2 separate regions of the Mus musculus genome follow, and region 1 is reported to be linked to region 2. The links are microRNA targets in miRTarBase. Many come from high-throughput screens and were not tested one by one. Region 2 holds a microRNA gene; the other region holds the end of a gene's coding sequence.
The links. The annotated mature microRNA mmu-miR-215-5p reads AUGACCUAUGAUUUGACAGAC and lies in region 2 at 2,375-2,395, opposite strand. An mRNA with a match to its seed (bases 2 to 7 or 8) in the 3' UTR can be bound and repressed. Matches are read on the target gene's strand: a 7mer-m8 pairs with bases 2 to 8, a 7mer-A1 pairs with bases 2 to 7 and ends in A, and an 8mer does both.

Region 1 (4,000 bases), not on the chromosome of region 2:
TGTAAAAACAGATTTTGATAGGGCATTGACCTCAGTGGTCGACTGCTTGCCTAGTGCAGAAGCCGCTGGGGCTTATCCCTGACAGAAAAATCAAAACAAAGGCAGGAAAGCCTCGATGATTGGCTGGGGACCCTGGGTGTCTGAGGGTCTCCTCTGCCTGGGACTTTTCTCCCACAAACAAGATTCAGAATAAGGCCGAGCCCTGGTGAGTTCCATGCTTAGTCCCAGTGCCCTCGGCCTCCCAGCCTTTTCATTAAAGAAGGAGGGCCTAGGCACCAACTCGATGTGAAGGTGAAGGGTCTCCCGATGGAGTCTCACCACCTCCCAGAAACCCCTGCAGTCGTGGAGAGGCCCGTGTGACACAACAGAGCCCTCCCCCATGGCTTCCCTCACCCGTCTCTCATCTCTCTGTCTTGCAGTATAGGAAACAAAACTGAGTGTCTGGAGCTTACGGCGAGCGCTTAGCTGCCCTGGAGTCACTTGGAACTGAGAAGCCTTCTGCTCTTGGAACAGCATCAGTTCTGGAATATTCTTTGATCTTGTTGGCTGAAAGCAAGAAATCGTAACTGACATTTGGTGAGGTGGTTCTCGTCATTGCAGCCATGTCTCCAGCGTCTTTTATGTCTGCTTTTCCAGACAGAAACGATATGCAATTTGGGGAGAATTTGGAGTTTTTTTGCTTCTTCTCTGTGTTTCTCATTTTTGCCTATCTGTTCTTTTACTTTGCCCTGAAGGCAGTTAATTTATTCTGGAGGTCCCGTCACCGATCTCCCAGCCCCATGAGAGATGTCCCCTCAGATGACCACCTGTATAGAAAGAAACGAACGGGCTTGAGAACCAGGCAGCTGTGGATCTGAATCCCAGCCGGCATACACGCCATCTGTCAGGTGCCCGAGTGAGCCTGGGGGGGTGAGGCGGCAGTCACGTGCCAGCTCACACCAGCTCCCTGCACAGGGACCTTGCTGCACAGGGACCTTGCTGCACAGGGACCTTGCGAGGAAGCCGCTGTGCTCCTCGTCCTGTTCAGTGACTCAGCTGTGAGTGCGTCTTGTCTCCTCTCAGAGTCCACACGCCCTCTTATCTGTGCCATGCTGTGTCCGTCAGTCTGTTAAGCAGCGGCTTCCTCCCAATATGCTCCAGGCAGAAACCCTGACCCTTGAAGTGGGAAAACATCTACTACACTAGACCAGCAATAAGGTGCAAGTAGGCAGGGTAGACACCAGCAGGTCCAGGCTTCCGTGCTCCACAGTGTGTCCTCTCTGGAGAGGAGATTGGGTCCAAGGGGAAGTGGCCCAGGTGGGCGAAGTAGCCAGAAGATGCAGAGAGGCCACACTGGGGGTTGAATGTTCGTGGGGCACTCAGGTGAGCTAGTGCCTGTCTGTGCCCTTGCAGTTCTGCGGGATGATGTGACCTCTGTCTAAGCAGAAGGGGCGGACAGTCCCGAAGCACGTGTGTCCACTTGTGAAAGCTCACAGTTTTCTTCCTCCTCTTTTGATTTATTTCAGACAGGATCTCAGTGTATACACTGGCAGGCCTTGAACTTTTGAACTTTCAGCAGTCTTTCTGTCTCTGCCTCCCAAGCACTTAGATACAGGTGTGCCACAACACATTGCTGCTGCTGCTGCTGCTGATAAATGCTCGTCAGGACAGTTTGCAGGATGCAGCTCACTTCTTCCTCTATGTGGGTCCCAGAGACTGAACTCGGGCTATCAGGCTTGGTGGCAAATGCCTCTATCTGTTGAGTCATCTGTTGGCTCTTATTATTTCTTCTTTAAAAAAAGAAGATCTTTATTTTATTTGTGTGTACCACGTGTGTGCAGGTGCCCTCAGAGGCCTGAGGACATTGGGCTCCCTGGAACTGAAGTTATAGGCAGTATGAGCTGTCTGATGTAAGTGTTAGGAACCAAACCTGAGTCTTCTGCAAGCAGTTAGCGCTCACACTCACGCACACACTCACGCTCACGCTGAGCCATCTCTCTAGCCCTCTATTGTTTCTCCCTGACTGCTGTTCTCTGAATAGGATTGTTCCCTCGACACGTGTGTCAAACAACGCTAAGGACTTGGGTAAGTCAGACACCCACTTGCCTGGAAGGATCATTCCTCAGAGACAAGCAGAGCCACAGGTTTGGGCTCCCAGATGACTGCCAGGCAAAGGGCAAGAGCAAAGCCGCAGTCCCTCCATCCCCACTGCTGCTGTCCAGTCCATCTGAGCCCAGGGACCAATCCTTACCTGGTGGTGTTCGTGGCAGTAGAGTAGCCATGTGTGCCACCATGCCTGGCCTTAGGCAGAGTTGTTCATTAGAATGGGGCTGAGGAGAAAGGACTAACACTGATTTGAGGAGCTGGGGCTGCCACTCACAGGGAGTGTGAGAGGGGTGTGGGGTCCCGTTGTTATGAGGGTGGTTTCAGAGAACACAATACAGATCAGTGGCCAGGTTATCCCTATGACATAGGACATTGACCTGTATCTGGTGGGGTCTCCCTATTGATAAAATAAGGGTGGAAGACGGGCTTATTTCATTTGTTGAAAGTGAGGGAGAGGGCTGAAGAGCAGTTAAGAGCACTGACTGCTCTTCCAGAGGTCCTGAGTTTAATTCCCAGCAACCACATGGTGGCTCACAACCATCTATAATGGGATTTGGTGCCCTCTTCTGGTATCTGAAGAGAGCAATAGTGTACTCACATTTATAAAATAAATAAGGCCGGAGCAAGCAGGGCCAGAAAATATATAAACAAAAAGAAAAAGGAAAACATAAAGAAAAAGGCTACTTTAAAAAAAAAAGAAAGAAAGAAAGTGAGGGAGAAAAACTGAATCTCCATGAATGTGTCCTTAATATTTGATCCCTCTCCAAGATGTCTTCTCCAGTCATGTGTGTGTGTAAGTGTCCACATGTATGTGTGTGAGTGTCCACACACACATGTGCCAGTACCTGTGTATACCTGTGTGTGCACAGGGAGAGCAGGGGTTGATGATGGGTTGTCCCCTCTGTTGCTCAGTACCTGGCATTCTGAGGCAGGGTCTCTCCCCACAGGTCACTGATTGATGAGACTGCTAGCCTGCAGATTCTGGGGGTCTAACTCATGCTCTCTCCTGCCACACACACACACACATCACCCGGGCCTCAGGTGTGTGCCAGTGAGCCCAGCTTTTCTGTGGGCATTAGGGGTCTGAATGCAGATCTTACTCATTGTGCTGAGCTGTCTTCACAGGCCTTTCCTTCTTGTTCTTAAGGACCTGGTGGCAGGTGGAAGTCTGACTTCAGAGTTGCTTTGCAGTTGCTGGCCCTACTTGATGGGATGGGGACAAGAACGGTGGCACGGGCTCTGTCTGCAGTGGGTAGACCATGGAGTGGCATCAGTTTGATATGGAAATGGCAGTGTGGAGAAGATCCCCTCCCCAAGCATGTTAAGTTAGCATAGGACCGAAGTCAGTGGAATAGCGGCCAGTGATGGCTCCCAAGTGCCAGAAGCCAGGCACAGATGGAACAGTATCCAGTGCCAACCTCCATAGGTGCCTCATCTCACAGGCTGAGGCCATTCTGCTCCTTGAATATGATTGGCTACAGGTCCTGGCTATTGACCTAAGTGCAACAGGTAGAATCCAGGCGTATGCACACCCTTCTTTGTTCTATTAATAAGAAACCGAATTCTCTCTGGTTTTGTTCGAGTATCGGTCAAGGAATTTAGTGAGAGTGGGGTGTAGGGGAGCCAGCTAGTGCATCTCCTGTGTTTTTGAGGGCTTTAGTTAAGGATTGTAATGTGACCTCATTGTAAACAAAGCTACCCTATCAACCAAGAGAGGTAATTGGCTCCTGCAAGATTTAGCTCCTAGGGGCTGGCAAGATGGTTCCAACAGGCACTGCTGTGCAAACCTGACGACTGGAGTTTGATCCCCTGATTCTGTGTTAAGGAGCAAAGAGAACACCAATGCCTCTCACCTCCACATGAGACACGTGGCATACACACACCTGCGTTCACACATCATGCACACACACAGTGA
Region 2 (4,152 bases):
GACGGACATGCTGGACAGACGGCCGTACTGGTGCATATCCCGGCAGAGAGTCTGGGGGGTTCCCATTCCTGTGTTTCATCATAAGACAAAAGATGAATATTTGATCAACAGGTAATTCTTTTCTGATTTTTATTGTTTAAAATGAGTTATGTTTCCATGGAAGAACGGTGTTTACCATTAAGAATCCGTTGTTACTGTCCGTTGCTCTGGGGCTTTGAGATGGCCTTTCATGATGAAGTCCAGGCTGCCCTCAGAGCCTGGGTCCAAGTTGTTTGCCTTCCTCAGCGGGATTACAGGTTTGTCCCGATGTCCTCCTCGCTCTCAGCTCTGTCTGTCTCACCAGTGAGCACTGGCTGCTCTGGCACAGTCTCACATTCACGGCAGTCCTCCTGCCTCAGCCTCCCCAGTGCTGGGAGTAGAAAGTCACACTGTTGCTGGGCTGGATGAGCCAGCAGTGAGCAAGCCTGAGACAGGAGCACGGGGTTAAGGCTAAGTCCGCAGTGTGACAGCGAGCGAGTGAGGCATTCAGAGGGCTGATGTTCCCTCAACCCCATGACCATGAGGATGCTGTTGGAGTTTGCAGTTTCTACGTTGTTGCTGTTAAGGTTTTGTTGTTTGTGTTCCCTCCCTTCCTCTCTCTCTCTTTCTCTCTCTCTCTTTCTTGTGCACCCCCTGGGATTAAAGCCTGTGCCACCATACCCAGCTCCTAGTTGCTGTTTTGATAGATGTGGAAAGGGGACAGCTAATCATTTCTGTAAGAATTCATTGTAAGTTTTCATTTCCTAAGACTGCTTTGACTTTATTTTGGTTAATGAGATTTTACTCAACTATGCTATAGCATCAGCGACATTGGCTGAGTGTGATTTTGTTAGTTCAGGATCTAGTCAGCAGTTTCGAGGGGCAGAGGCAATAAGTGATGGGTTGTTTGTTGGTTGAGAGACTGTAGGCCCAGACTGGCGGCCCTTCCTGGGGATTCCTTGGCGTTGTTGAGATGATTTGGTTTTCACTGTTGCTGTGATTGTATGTGTTAATAGTATCATTCTGAGTGTATGGATTTTAGAAGTTTTAAAAAATGTTAATTTAAGTTGTTGTTTTTTTAAAAAGTCACGTATGACCACACAAAGGATAGGTTTGTTGTTATCTTTAATAATTTTGTGCTAGGAATTATATCAAGGCCCTGTGCATTCCTGACCACTGACTTGTATTCTAAGCTGAGGGCAGGGAAGAGTGCTCTGCGGGAGGCAGGGTGGCAGTGTGTGCTGTGCGTAGGAGCCATGGGATTCCAGGGCTGTGAGAGGGATAGAAAGGCAGTCACTAAGAACTGGCCGGGGGCTGGAGAGATGGCTCAGCAGTTAAGAGCACTGACTGCTCTTCTGAAGGTTCTGAGTTCAAACCCCAGCAACCATGTGATGGCTCACAACCATCTGTGGTGAGATCTGAGGCCCTCTTCTGGTTTGTCTGAAGACAGCTACAGTGTACTTAAATATATATAATAATAAATAAATTAAAAAAAATAACTGGCTGGGACAGGCTGAAGGAGTCTTGAGCACCACACTAGGGATTTTAAGAAGTCTTTTTCAGGCTAAGCATGTACAGGCTAGATTTGTAAGACCATTTGAGTATTGTTATAGTTTAGAGTTGACTCTGCTCCAGGATTGTCCCTGTGTGGCTCTTACAGAACTCAAGAGTTTTTTCAGTTATATTTCACTACTATCTTAATACATCTGTTGAAAATGAAATGATTATAGTTGAGATAAATTCACACAAGTAAACTTAAAGCCAGTTGTTTCTTAGTCCTCAGCTATCAGAATGCAAGACTTTGAGGGCATTGCCTTGAAGTGAGTGCGGTAGGATGAGTATATGTTATTAAAATTAAGAAGTAAAACAGATTTGGCTTTTATTTGTTTTGTGTGCAGGGGATTGATTGAACTCAGGCCCTCTCAGACGTGAATACACACTGTATCACTGAGTCGTATCCCAGACTTCAGCAACTCACATTCCACCACTGAGCTGTATCCCCACACTTCACCAACACAAACTCGACCACTGTGACATACCCCAAATTTTCAGCAACACACACTCTACCACTGAGCTACACCCTCAGACTTCAGCAGACTGGTGGAACTGACAATTGTTTTCAAAGTGAAAATGTACACAGATTGAGCAGTCGGTGAGTGAGATGAAATAGACGTCAGCTTTCTCAGGTACACAGAAGCACTCATTTTATTTTGTCAGCACATTCTCCTGCCATGCTACAGACTCTCCCGTGATCTGCTGCACAGCGCTCAGAGGGTGTTTGCCGATGTCCGGATTTTAAGTAGCAGTGACATACAGAATATTGGCCTACAGAATGACAGACATACACAGCTGCACGGTCTGTCAAATCATAGGTCATTCTCCTGTACACCGTTGATGCTGAGAGCTCCGTGCTCCGTAGTCTCCATGGCTGGGTCCTCTGCTGACCTAGCACTTGAACTTGAGAACATTTACATTCTTAAGTATTTGTTAGTTAGGAAACAGAATGAAGATCATCATTCTTTTTCTGAATCAAATGATAACCAAGAGCCCACCCAGAAATGTCTGCCCTTCCTTTTCCATGTTTGTAGCCGGTTGGAGGCCATCAGAAGTAACAGCAGCTCCACTGGAATCCGAGCACAGTCCACATGGAGTTGCTGTTACACCCGATGACTCCATCAGTTTGCCGGATGGGTCCTTAGCTTTAAAACACTACTCCCTCGGTGTGGAGGAGTCTTGAGGATTGAACCTGGAGCCTGGTGCATCCCAGGCAAGTACTCTACAGGAGACTGGAGCTAGCCCCAGCCCTCTACCTCTTCCTGGTGTGTGGTGGGAGTGGTGGCAGTTTGGGACAAGACCTAGCCTGTACCTTGCAGTCCTGCCTCAGCTTCCAGGGAGCTGAGATTCCCGGTGAGCTCTGCCGCGCCTGGATTTTCTGCTTCCTGGACGAGAGTCTGCGAGTTGCCTCTAAATATACTTACTTGTTTCCCAAAGAGAACCTGGGATTCCTCGTGTCCCAAATGAGTTTAAAGACTGACAGAATTAAACTCTGGACTCAAACTCTGACATGTCAATTTCATTTATAGCTTATGTTCGCTTCTTTTCCTCAAGAACTTTTAATGTTAATATCATTGGCCATTTCCTGAATCTGTAATATAATCCCCGTATAATTTAGGTGGCAATCTAGTCCCTGGTTAATGAAAACAAGTTTTGTTTTGTTTTTTTTTTCGGAGACAGGGTTTCTCTGTATAGCTCTGGCTGTCCTGGAACTCACTCTGTAGACCAGGCGGGTCTCAAACTCAGAAATCCACCTACCTCTGCCTCCCAAGTGCTGGGATTAAAGGCGTGAACCACCACTTCCTGGCAACAAGTATTTTTTAACATAAAATGGATAAAATTTAGAAACATTGGCCACCTAGAGAAGACAGGAAGCTGTTGATGGCGTTTCTTTCCTTATTTTAGACGTATGTTGTCACCAGCACTGTTGACTTACGCGCTAAGGTAGCTTAGAGCCAGCCTCTGGAAACCTGTGGACTTTATGTTCAGTAAGTAAAGAAAGCATCCTAAATCGTTGCCTGCTGCCTCTACAGCCTGCGCATTGGACTTGGTGGGAACAGGCTCTTCCTTCTGAAGCTCCACCGTGTTCTTTGTCACATTTAGACAACAGACAGGAACTCTTAGCCTCTTACCTCGTTCTTTCCACGGTCACTTCCAGCAGAGATCCTGTCCTGTGCCTTTTGCTTATAAAGAGAGAACAGAGGACCAAGAGGACAGCAGCGGCTCCTTACCTGGAAGTCCTGAGTGCTTCCTGCTTCTCGGCTAAATAGCACATGCTGCTGATAGCAGAGCCCGGGTGATTGGCTGCCGTCAGAGCTGCCCCACTGCCTGGGTTTTCCCTGATGGAAACCGAAGCAGGAACACGGAATGCGTGACAGATAAGGCCTCTGAGTACAAAGTTCTAGTATGGTCTGACTTATTGCTCTGTGAAATACAGCATTAAAATGGAAACAGACTACAGAGTGATAAGTGGTTTCACCCACTTTTATCAACAGTAATTTATACTGGTCTTTAGGTCATAAGTCAACTGTGTGCTGAAGTATAGAATATTGTTAATAAAATAAAGAGAATTCTTGAGTT

Region 1: the mRNA of Lyrm9 is a reported target of mmu-miR-215-5p. The part of its 3' UTR that is shown has no 7-base or 8-base seed match.

Annotation. Positions count from the first base shown.
Region 1 is chr11:78,838,704-78,842,703 of GRCm38, forward strand. It overlaps Lyrm9 (LYR motif containing 9), which reads left to right. Exons shown (of 4, transcript NM_001076681.2): 4 at 420-4,000. The coding sequence ends at 437. Among named protein-coding and RNA genes, the nearest start is that of Lyrm9, 14 kb to the left of the region's middle.
Region 2 is chr1:185,311,853-185,316,004 of GRCm38, reverse strand. Mir215 (microRNA 215) reads right to left here and starts at 2,424; the gene lies at 2,313-2,424. It overlaps Iars2 (isoleucine-tRNA synthetase 2, mitochondrial), which reads left to right. Exons shown (of 23, transcript NM_198653.3): 12 at 1-111. Mir194-1 (microRNA 194-1) reads right to left here and starts at 2,686; the gene lies at 2,620-2,686.